Linked DNA regions of Sus scrofa. The protein of the gene in region 3 binds, or shares a complex with, the protein of the main gene of each other region. Links are inferred from orthologs where the notes say so. Each region holds a gene or a part of one and is shown on either strand. Other genes may lie near its edges.

Region 1 (3,746 bases), on a different chromosome or scaffold from region 3:
TCAAGTGGAAGGGTGGGGGTGGGGGTGGGGGTGGGGGTGGGGGTGGGGTAGGGATACCAGTGAGATTACTGCAATAATCCAAGTTAATTTAGAAACAAGTGTTTCATATTAAACTGGTGGAAACTAAAAGGAGCACAAAGAGGCAAAAAAATTTTTTTTCAAATGTGAAACTAAGACATCTAATTAAATATCAGTCTTTGTAATAAAGTACACATATATTTAGGACTATGAAAATTAAACTTACTTTAGATACTTGGCATATTCTGGCTCTTTCCAGTAAAGCAAGTACTTAAGATAATTAACAAAAGCTTTGTCTTTGAAGTAACCTCTTTGGGCAAGAACTGAAAGGCACAAAAAAAAAAAAAATCTGTAGAGCAAACCATCCTTGGACTACTTATTTCTGACTCCTGACATACATAAAGTAAACTTAACATAACATCCCCACCACTAAAAAACACTGAATTCAGGGAGTTCCCATCATGGCTCAGTGGTTAACGAATCCGACTAAGAACCATGAGGTTTCCGGTCCGATCCCTGGCCTCGCACAGTGGGTTAAGGATTTGGCGTTGCCGAGACCTGTGGTGTGGGTCGCAGACACGGCTCGGATCCCGAGTTGCATTGGCTGTGGCGTAGGCCAGGCGGCTACAGCTCCGATTCGACCCCTAGCCTGAGAACCTCCATATGCCATGTGAGCGGCCCAAGAAAATGGCAAAAAGACCAAAAAACAAAAAAAAAAAGACACTGAATTCAAAACACAAGTCCCAGTCTGCTCAATGATAATATATAGCAGTAAAAGTGTAGCAATAATTCCATTCACTTGAGAATGTATAAAAGTAGATAAAGTCATCCCAGGGACTCTGCAGGGGATTGGTTCCAGGAGACTCCACAGATTACCAAAATCCACAGATGCTCAAGTCCCTTATATAAAATGGTATAGTGCGATGACAGTGACAGTACTGTCACCTTCTGTATCTGAGGATTCAACCAACTGCAGTTGAACTGTGGATACCAAGGGCCAACAGTACTATGAATTGCAACTCTTCGGTCAGAAATCATCAATATTTACTCAATTCAACGGGGTACTGCTCAACTTACAATTAAGGTAATTTGGGTTGGCTAAACACTGCACAAATTCCAACTCCAATTGAAACCGAAGTCGATTCCCAGCATCATCTAGGAGAGAAGATATCAAAAATCATCCAAAATAAACGTCACTGAATACTGATTTGTAGAAAGAAAACATCAGTAATAAACCTAATGCTGAAATACACTTCTTCATAAAGAAGGGCATGTGATATTTTCCTAAACTGGGCGTGGGAGGAGAAAAACCTTTCTTAGAAGTCTAAGGAAAGCAAAGCCCTGATTAAAAGGAGTAAGACGTTTCTCTAAACTTAAAGACAAGTCATCAAAGAAAGCAAGAACACACAGGTCAGAATGTTTATGACCCGTGAGCTACCATGTAAGAAATTTAACAGTGATCACTGGGATAGATTAGGGTAACTGTGCCTTAATTTTAATAATGCATTACAAGTAGCTAGGTGATAAAGTTAGTAAACAAAAACAAAGTGAATGCTAAAGCCACCAAGAAAAAGTTCAGAATGCAAGCTGACAGAGGCTACGGCGAGTACACAAGATCAAGAAGCGTGTGCTTAGGTGAGAAGCGTCGTTGGTAGTATAATAACACAAATGTGTCGACGATGTTTTAACTTATGCAAGCTCGTTTGAGACGCAGAAAACAAACCGAAGATTGGTTTAAAATTGAAATTCTCTTTCTCGTTCTCGCCGGAAGCCAGTGGTGCCGGTGTCTGAAGAGCAATGAAAGAAAAAGTGTTGGCCAACAAATTAAACTCTGAAAAGGCCAAACTACCTTCACCCTTCCGACACTAGAAAAGTCCGCGGCCCTCCCGGTCCGAACTCACTCTGCCTGAAAGAAGTCAGGCCTGAAAGGAGAACGCGGGGGAGCAGGAGCGGGGGTTTGGGCCCAGGATAGTTCTACTTGCGAAGACGCGTGGCTCCGAGCGCGACTCACCTGTCTCCATAGCGACGGCGGCGGCCATCACGAGCAAAGACGCTAACCCACAAGCAGCCCAGCACAGCAAACGCCCGGAGCCGCGGGGGACGTGCCGGAAGCCGCCGCTCCCTCTTCCTGCCGCGGGGCAGTGTGGGACGCGAGGGCGGGATCAGCCTCGCGCGGGGGCGGGTGGCTCCGCCCATCCGCCCGCCCGCCCCGGCCCAGCCCAGCCCAGCCCCTCCTCCGCTCGCGGGAGCTCCTGACAGACGAGGGGGCGGTGCGCCCGCTGACCGAGCGCCTGAGGGGCCCGGCCCAGAGTTGCCAAGGAGTTTTCACGTCCCTCCCCACCCCTCAAGGAAACCTTGTCCCCAAGTCCCTGTGTCGTGGCACCCTCGTCTAGCGCTGTACCTGCGTCACACAGGCATGTGACGTCACTCGTCACCCTGTGACGTAACCCGTCGGGGAGCGTGAGGCGGTAAGGCCTCCCGAGGCCCGCTCGGTCCGTTACCCCCGTGGAATGGCCTCACCCCTTCGGGGAAAGCCCTCGCGGCCCCGGGCGGCGGCCGCCCGCTACGAGGAGACGTCGACGGTACGCGTAGAGACCTCGTCCCACCGCGTGGAGACATCCTCCCGCCAGGTGCAGACGTCCTCCCGGCGGGTGGAGACCACCCAGCACTGCAGCGAGGGGCCCTCCGTCTCCCCCTCTGGGAAACGGCTCCCTCGCGTCGTCGAGGTGTCCCAGCACGTGGAAACCTGGCAGCGCACGGAAACAGCCTCCCGCCGCGTCAGGGCCTCGTGCCTGCGGGTGGAGACGACTCTGCACCGCGTAGAGAGCCCGCCGCGGCAGGAGCAGCCGGCAGGCCGCCAGAATGTCCAAAAGGCCCCATGAGATGCTTCCTTCTCCAGGGCCACGACAGGGCCATGGCCCGTGGCCAGTGCAGATCTGCCTCCAGTTCGCAGCCGGCCTGCTGCCAGGTGGACCGATTCCCTTTGGTTTCCTGGAAACAGTCCACAATCCACAAATCAATGTAAGAAAGAGCCAAGCTGTGGTTTCAGGACTCAGCCAACATTCACTGACCCAGCTGCACCTTGGACTATCCTGCCTTTGACCCTGTGAACTGTTTTAACTTGAAACCAGCACAAAAAGTTCCGGGCCCCGGATACTGTATGAATTGAGTCGATGGACAAAGAGGCTCTTTGAACCTCTCAGACAGGTGAGTGTGGGGGTCCTTAAGCCCTGAATGACCTTTGCTGCTTCAAATTTAAGGACAGGGAGCAAGCAGAAATCATGACCAGTGGATTGATTATGTGCCCGCTGAAAACCTGGGGGGCAGGGATCAGACTTTCCTTAATTAGTTAATTCCTTAATTAGTTGGCCTATGTTTATATTTCAAAGCACGCAGTTCTTTTCTTTATGCTGAGCCCTTGTGCATGGTACCCCCCCCCGCCCCCCAGCCACACATGTTTTAACATAGGTCAAGTGCAGTTCAAAATGGAAAATGAAGGTCAACCATCAACAATCAAGAATAATTTTATGGGGGAAAAAACTGTAATTGCAATGTATACATGTAAGGATATCCTGACCCCCTTGCTGTACAGTGGGAAAATTAAAAAAAAAAAAAAAAAAAGAATAATTCTAGAAGGCAAACCTGACCTGTGATTTGAGGAGATGCAGGGGAGGGAGCCTGCATATTGAGCACCGACTCTGTGCTAGGTATTATCCTGGCATTTAAGC
Region 2 (3,638 bases), on a different chromosome or scaffold from region 3:
TTTTTTTTGGTTTTGTCTTTTGTCTTTTTAGGGCCACACCCACAGCCTATGGAGGTTCCCAGGCTAGAGGTCCAATTCCAATGACCCCTAGCAGCAACAAGGGATCCGAGCTGAGTCTTCCACCTACACCACAGCTCACGGCAACGCCGGATCCTTAACCCACTGAGCAGGGCCAGGGATCGAACTCACAACCTCATGGTTCCTAGTCAGATTCATTTCCACTGCACCACAACAGGAACGCCATTATTATTATTATTGTTGTTGTTGTGGTTTAGGGCCACACCCGCGGTATATGGAGGTTCCCAGGCTAGGGGTCAAATCAGAGGTGTAGCTGCTGTCCTACACCACAGCCACAGCAACACCAGATCCAAGCCAAGTCTGCAACCTACACCATAGCTCAATCATGGCAATGCCAGATCCTTAGTCCACCGAGTGAGGCCACGGATTGAACCCACATCCTCATGGACACCATTCAGGTTCGTTAACCACTAAGCCACGACGGGAACTCCACGATGACAATATCTTAACTAAGGCCTGGCTGATATTCAGCACAATGGGAGGATGCATTCGCTGGTCCGTTCCAGTGCTAAACTGCATCTAGATGACTCCTCACCACAGAGCACATCTATGAACCTCAAGTCTTTCCTTCTCACAATCATATAAACGATTTCCCCTCTCCAGTCCTCAAAGATATGTTGGTGAAGTGGGTGTGAAAGTATTAGTCTCCAGGGTCCCTTCCAGCTCTGCCATTTTGTGGTGACCGGCCAAGTGGCAGGATAAGAGTTCTCGACGCCTCCAAAAGTCCTGACTAGTCCCGTCACCTCAGGCCCAGGTTTTCCCAAATCACAAGCCCCAGTGTGTCTGCACAGCCCCCAGCTCCCCTGGGTACCTTTGAGTGGAGGTCAGCCCATGTCCGTAGGTTGGAGCCTGTTGGTGTACATAGCCACTGGGCCGCTGCTGCAGGTGGCGAGTAGGATCTACAAGAGTAGGATTGGTAGAAGGGTGGGTGCTCTGATAAGGCTGGCTGGAGTAGCTGGGGGGCACCATGGTACCTGCGGGGCCTGTGTGTTGCTGCAATCCCACATGAGAAACATAAGGAGTATAGCCCTGGAGGGAAGGAGGACAGAGGGAGTCAGGGCCAAAAGTGTGCAGAGTGGCCTGCCTTGAGTGCCCCGATTCTCACCATCTCGTGCCCTTACCTGGGAGGTCTGCAAACCGTAGGACGAGCTGGGAGTCATCTGATGGACAGATGACTGTCCCAACATCCCCTGACTCTGCTAAAGGGAAAAAAGGAGAGAAACTCAAACTTAGGAAACACATCCTGCCACCTCATTTCTTATATCTCCTGCTCGTTGTGTCCTTGTGGAAATCCCAAGTGTCTCCTCAGTTCTGTGACCCTCAAAAGCCCCTCTCCCTGACGGCCCTCCCTACGGCCCCTCTCACTATCTTTGCCTGGAGCTGTTGGCGAAGGCGCTGTCCTTGGGGCACTGCAGGCTGCTGCTGTCGGTACACAGAGGTCTTGTAGGAGGGTTCCAGGCCCATGACGCCAGTCATGGTTGTGGGCAGCACTCCGGGGTAAGGTGGTCGGGTCGGCAGCTTCTGCATTGGCAACCGCACAGGGCGGTACGGGTCCACGCGGGGGCCGCCTGGAAAGGGGAGCAGGCTGACCTCTCTAGTCTCCTGGCCCCTCTGTCCCCTGCTCAGTGCCTGGGGCATCCACAGCTCCTTGGAAGAGTGGCATCGCCCCTCAGGCAGGAGGAATGTCCAGGTAAGCCCCTCGGGCTGGTGGCTGGCACTCACCTGCCGGGAGTGGCTGGTTCTGGGTGTAGAGGCCTATGGAGCCCTGCCTGTAGCTAAGGTGGGATATGGAGCCAGGGTTGGGGTGGTGCAGGAGATCTGGAGGCACTGTTACTCCATAGGGGCCACTGCGGCCTGAGCCCATCCCATAGTCCTGTGTGAATAGCAGAAGAGGAAGGTGAGAAGGCTGAGGTGAGGGAGGGTAGGAGGGGGGAACAGAAGCCGGATCTACGTGGCTCATTTTTTTTTTTTAATTCTAAGGGTCCCTCTTCCCCACATGCCCCTACCCCTCCCACAAACCAGACGCTAGACAGAATCAGGAAGAGACATGGGCTGGGGAGGCGTAACAGGGTCGTGGTGTCGGCAGTGCTAACCTCCGTCTTGGTGGCTGGCTGGCTGCGTTTCTTGCCCTTGGTGGACTTCTTCTTGCGTTCCTCAGTGCTGGGCGGAGCAGCCCCAGGTTTGTCAGTTTTGGGGGGCTCTGGAGCCTTTTTCTCAGGCTCCAGCAGGGTGGGGGCAGGGGGCTCCTCATCCTCCGGCGGCAGTGGGAGTGGCTCCAGGTAGTAGGCGCGGGGCCGGGGCCTCAGGTGTGTGTGGTAGAGCAGGAGCCGCTGCTGCTCCTCTCCGCGGGCCACACGCCGGTCCACCCGGACTGTTCCAAACCAGCCCCAAGACAGTGGTGCTGACGGCTTCAAGCCCTCGAAAAGATCCCAGGGAGAGATCTTTTGTTTGGTGGAAACCTGCAGACCCTGCTCCGGAAAATGAGAAACAGTGAGCTGTTGAGACTTGGAAAACAGAAGACAGACCTTGAGGACTTAGAGGAGAAGGAAAAGTTATCTGTGGGCAATAAAAGAAAGCCATAGGTAGATTTGGGGCAGAGGGCGAGAGGAAGACAGATGGACATGGACACACAGACACACAGACACACCGACACACACACACACACACACACACGTGGGGAAGAGAGAGTTAAGAGGGGAGAGGATGATGGTGGAGGGAGCAGAGGGAGACAGACAGAAACAGAGAGAGACACTGTCAGAGGAAGACAGGTATAGAAACAGGAAGGCAGAGAAAGAAAAGGCAGCAAGAGACTGAAGACAGAGAGAGAGACAGAGACAGGGAGAGAGAGAGAAAAAGAGGATGAGAGAGACAGTCAGAAAGAGAGAGGCAGAGACACTCATGCAGATAGAGAAAGATGAGCCAGGAAAAGAACGAAGAGGATGGATGGCTGTGAGAATGGGTGGGACTTTCGATTCTGAGCTCATCGTGTCCTCTTCTCCTTCTCCCTCCACTTCTCCGTAACAGTGATTATGGTTACCCAACAACTACTGTAACTGAGAGAGAGGAAAGAAAACTGCAGAGATGGGTGGATGGTTGTGGGGGGTGGGAGTGGAGAGAAACACAGGGATAAAAGAGATATGGGCTGTCAGCCAGGCGGAGAGGTGGGGTGCAGCCAGGCGGACAGGAGGCAGGTGGGGCAGAAGAAAGAGGAGGGTGGGGTGCTGAGAAATGGGTGGTATGTGCAAAGGTGCGTGGGGTGATGAAAGAGACCAAGGAAAGACAGTGAGACTCCTGAGCTGGGGAGAAGAGACGCGAGGAAAAATTAAGTGATTAGCTCAACACCCCAGGGATGGCTCTCAGCACCGACAGAGCCTGATGAGCCTCTTAGAGCTATAAGGTTAAGGCAGGGGAGGCTCTGGCCTGAAATGGAACAAAGGTGGAGGGCGGGGAGCAGGAGCAGGGAAGACAAGGGCACATGCCTCTTTCTTGAAGATGGAGTCAAAGCCAGCAATCTTGTTGCCCTTGGTGTCGATAAGGGAGCCCTGCGGCTCACATGTGAT
Region 3 (3,746 bases):
TGCTAGCAATGCCTTGTTGGAGCCACCTAGTTCTCACCTGAGCTCAGGTCAATCAGGAGAAACTGCAGAGATACACTTGTACCATCTCTATCCACAGGAGTGTGGACAGGAGTGTGGCTTGGGGTTTGCTCCAAGCCACACTCCTGTCCAATGGCTTATAGTGATATTCAGGGCTGACACTGACAGTAGCAGCATTTAAAGGAGGCACTTTCTCATCACTCATATTCAGAGGCAACTTCTCAATTCTATCCACTACATTTACATTAGTAAGATTCCACACACACCTATCACAAGAGTTGTCCCAAATAAGCCATGTGAAATGTGAATACCATAACATACAACACAATGGTGGGCTTGGACCCTCTTCCTCCTGTATTCCTAGGAGGAACCTTTCAGATTAGAGCCTTACACAACACTGGAACCCCTGAGGTCACTGCCCCACCTAATCTACAATACGGGGACTATGCATCAAAGCCCCTCCTGATCCCAAAGCTCTCCTAGATGGCATTAAGGATCAGTGCTAATATCTCAGGAACCTTTCAGATTCTCTGGAAGGCAAACACGCAAATGGAATTCAAGAAATTACACTCTGACTGATGCAAAAGACACCAAGGCTACATTTTTCACATCACTTGTTTTATCCTCTAATATTTCAGTCTTGGGAACCTCTGCGGCACCAGTTACTGCAAAAATCCTGCAAGATCTTATATACTTTGTGCCTAGTCCACCCCCAAAGTCATAAAAAAAAATGTATACAACATTTGTTAAAGACAATTACCACCACGGCTACTCTAATAGGGCCTGTAGACCAGGAACAACAGAATTACTTATGATATAGAAATCAGAGTCTTAGAGCATAACTTCTCTATATCTACCAAAACTGTACAATCCAACATGAATTCTAAAAATGCTAAGCTAAAGCCTACTGCTAAAAGTAATCAGCCAAACTCCTGTAAAAGAAAAGCAAAAGCCTCCATAGTGATAGAAACCTGAGTTACCTGGCCAAGCCCAAGAGGGTTTTTCCTTCTAGCCCCAGTACATTAAAAAATGATCTTAAGGGCCACTTCCTGGTCTCCCAGGAAATGCAGGGACTCATCTCTTACTTGGATGCTACTGCATCTTCCTACTGCTGAACCTGCTCCTGCCACAGGGAAAAATGACCCTTATGGCCAGCAACCACTCAGAGAAGATATGAGAACTCAATGAATCTTTCCCCCCACACACGGAAGGGGGCAGGGAAGATCCCTCTACAAACAGCAGCCTGGGTAGAGGAGCGTCTGAGAAAGCAACACCCTGAGGTTAACCCGGATGGTCTAGGTCACAAACCAACAGGCTGGGACCCCAGGTAGGGGGAAGAGACAGCTGAAGGAGGGCTATGGGGGGAATGGGAGAGAAAACAATCACCTCTAATTCACTACCAAAAAGCGGGGCTCTGGCTTGGTCAGAGACGCAGTGAGTACTCAGGCCCAGAAAGGTAAAAGAATCCACTCTCCACAAGATCGTCTTCCGTCAGCAGCGACCCCAGGAGGGATCCTGCAAAGACATGTTCACTCTCAGAACCGAAGAGGACTCTTTACGCGCCCTAGGCAGCCGGCTAGGGGCAAAGCAAGTCGAGGGATTCTCTCCGAAGCCGGGAAGGTGCTTCCAGCCGGGAGGAAAGCGAAGGACTTCCCGATCACCCAGAAGGCCGAGACACTGGCGACACGGGATCCCCGAATCATACCCCGGACACCAGTTGCTCCACAGCCTTTCCCTCTCCCCTCCCCCGCGCCGGGAGGGCTTCCCGGGGGTCGGGGGTCTCCCGGGAAGGAAAAGGCAAGCGAGCTCTGTCAGTAGCAGCAAGGGTCGAAGAGCTGGAGCGGGAACTGAGGAAAAGCTCTGGTCTCAGCTCCCATCTGCTCCCTCCGCCCAGGCCTCACGAAAGCCTCGGCCTCACGTACCGAACGCCGCCGGGCTGCCCGACCTGCCCCGACCCGGGCCCGAGGGGCGAGAGGCCGAGATGGCAGCGGCCCTTGGGGGCAGGTGAGCGTCCGACGGGTCCCCCAGAACCCGGCAGGAGAGAGGCAGTAGGGAGGGGGAGGGTCCCGGGCCCACGCGGCCTCCACCACAGCCCGTGCCGTGGACACTTACGTTGCTCTGGGGGTCGATGGCCTGCAGCAGCCGGTCCCTGATCTGCTGCGGAGACGGCGGAGCCGCTGTCATTGCCTGGGCGAGGCGGGGGGGGAGCGGCCGGGCCAGCGGGCGGGCGGGCTGAGGTGGGGGACGGGGGTCACTCACTCGCCGGCCTCCGGGAGCGGAGCCTCATGTTCCCCGCGGCGCCGGAGAAAGTGGGGGCGCGCGGGGTGGCAGAGGGGGAGCCGGGGCCGGGGCTCAGGCCCGGGGCGCCGCCGCCACCGGAGGAGGAGGAGGAGCCGCCGGAGCCTCTGCCGCTGCTGCCGCCGCCTCGAGAACCAAACTCCAGTGAGCTACCCTCGCGCGGAGCACTCTGGGTAACCCGCGCCGCACGCAGCGTCGGCGCCACGCTGAGGAGGTTGGGAGATGGGGCGGGCAGAGACGCCGAACCTGGGCGGGGCCACGCGCGGGCCCGGCCCCATACCCATACGCATGCGCGCGCAGGCGCACTCGCCCCACCGCTTGGTTCCTCCCCGCCGCCCGGCCAAGGGAGCCGTTGGGAGGCGGTTGGGCGGGGCAACGGCCACCGCCTGCAGGCCCCGCCCCCGCCCCGGCTTGGGGGCCGAGGTCTCCGACCGAAACGCTAGGTGGGCGCCGAGTCCTTGAACTCCGGCGCTGTGGGAGGCCGTATCAGAGCAGCCGAAGGACCTCTCCTCGGGGAGAAAAGCTTTCCCTGTTCTGATGGAGGTGATGGAAATCGCGGGCAGGAGAAGCTGCCAAGTTTTCTGAGCCTGGGGTCTTTCACAAGCCCTCTATTTGCGTTTCTGAGGGCCAGGGGAGCAGACTTCCCCGTAGTGAATTTGTGCGTGTAAGGGTCAGTTGAGCGTGCGGGAACACTCCAGCCCCTCCCCCTCCAGAGGGCGTTGATACGAGCACGGGTCTGCAGCGCCTCGGGCCGGGATCCCGAAAATGTGCGATAGCCAAGCGCCCCGCATGGGAGCCGCCGCCCCAGCTAGGAAAGCCCCAAAGCCAACCCCTGAGCTGACACCAGCGTTGCAAGCCTGTATCTACGCCAAGCTCGCAACGTTGGAGTCAACCTGCCCAGACATTTGGGGCTGGGATCACTCTGTTGTAGGGCCTGTCTTGTGCATTGCATGATGTTCAGCAGCATCCCTGGTTTCTACCCACTAGATGCCAGTAGCACCCTTTTCCCCCGCCTGGGACAGCCAAAAATGTCTCCAATCACTGCCAGAGGTCCCTTGGCTGGCAAAAATCGACTCCTGTAGAGAATCCCTGGTTTAAAAGAAAGACCCTTCAGTCCTCATTCTCTCAATCTCCACTACAAAGAAGGAAACTGAGGCCCAAGGTCATCCAGAGTTCTAGGTCAAGCCCAGAATTGTTAACTGTCAAGTCTAAGCCGACCCCCGCGCCTTCTTTCATTGCTGTCTCCTCTGGAAGCTCTGCTAAATACTCAGTTATGTGACGGGATGAAAGGGCAGGCTGAGTGGATTATTAGTCGCAGCCTCGGGAGAAATAACTTTTTTCGTTTGTTACAGGAAGACCTAGATTTAAAACAGGAGAGAGGCAGCTGATGAAAACCACATGTGCGCCTTGGATCTGTGCTACACCTGTTA

What was found.
Region 1: MED26 (region 3) and MED31 share a complex: the UniProt entries of both Homo sapiens proteins name them as parts of the mediator complex. The link is inferred for Sus scrofa from reciprocal best matches to the Homo sapiens genes MED26 and MED31.
Region 2: MED26 (region 3) and MED12 share a complex: the UniProt entries of both Homo sapiens proteins name them as parts of the mediator complex. The link is inferred for Sus scrofa from reciprocal best matches to the Homo sapiens genes MED26 and MED12.

What each region holds. Positions count from the first base shown.
Region 1 is NC_010454.4:50,727,268-50,731,013, reverse strand, and holds the start of MED31 (mediator of RNA polymerase II transcription subunit 31), read right to left. Parts: upstream 2,334-3,746; 5' UTR 2,058-2,333; coding exon 2,030-2,057; intron 1,806-2,029; exon of another isoform or gene 1,742-1,805; intron 1,174-1,741; coding exon 1,096-1,173; intron 342-1,095; coding exon 245-341; intron 1-244. Other genes in the region: C12H17orf100 (uncharacterized protein C17orf100 homolog), read left to right, coding at 2,529-2,900. UniProt on the Homo sapiens protein: Component of the Mediator complex, a coactivator involved in the regulated transcription of nearly all RNA polymerase II-dependent genes.
Region 2 is NC_010461.5:57,167,777-57,171,414, reverse strand, and holds part of MED12 (mediator of RNA polymerase II transcription subunit 12), read right to left. Parts: coding exon 3,558-3,638; intron 2,547-3,557; coding exon 2,172-2,546; intron 1,952-2,171; coding exon 1,801-1,951; intron 1,647-1,800; coding exon 1,453-1,646; intron 1,278-1,452; coding exon 1,200-1,277; intron 1,108-1,199; coding exon 890-1,107; intron 1-889. UniProt on the Homo sapiens protein: Component of the Mediator complex, a coactivator involved in the regulated transcription of nearly all RNA polymerase II-dependent genes.
Region 3 is NC_010444.4:60,982,975-60,986,720, reverse strand, and holds the start of MED26 (mediator of RNA polymerase II transcription subunit 26), read right to left. Parts: upstream 2,472-3,746; 5' UTR 2,203-2,471; coding exon 2,131-2,202; intron 1-2,130. UniProt on the Homo sapiens protein: Component of the Mediator complex, a coactivator involved in the regulated transcription of nearly all RNA polymerase II-dependent genes.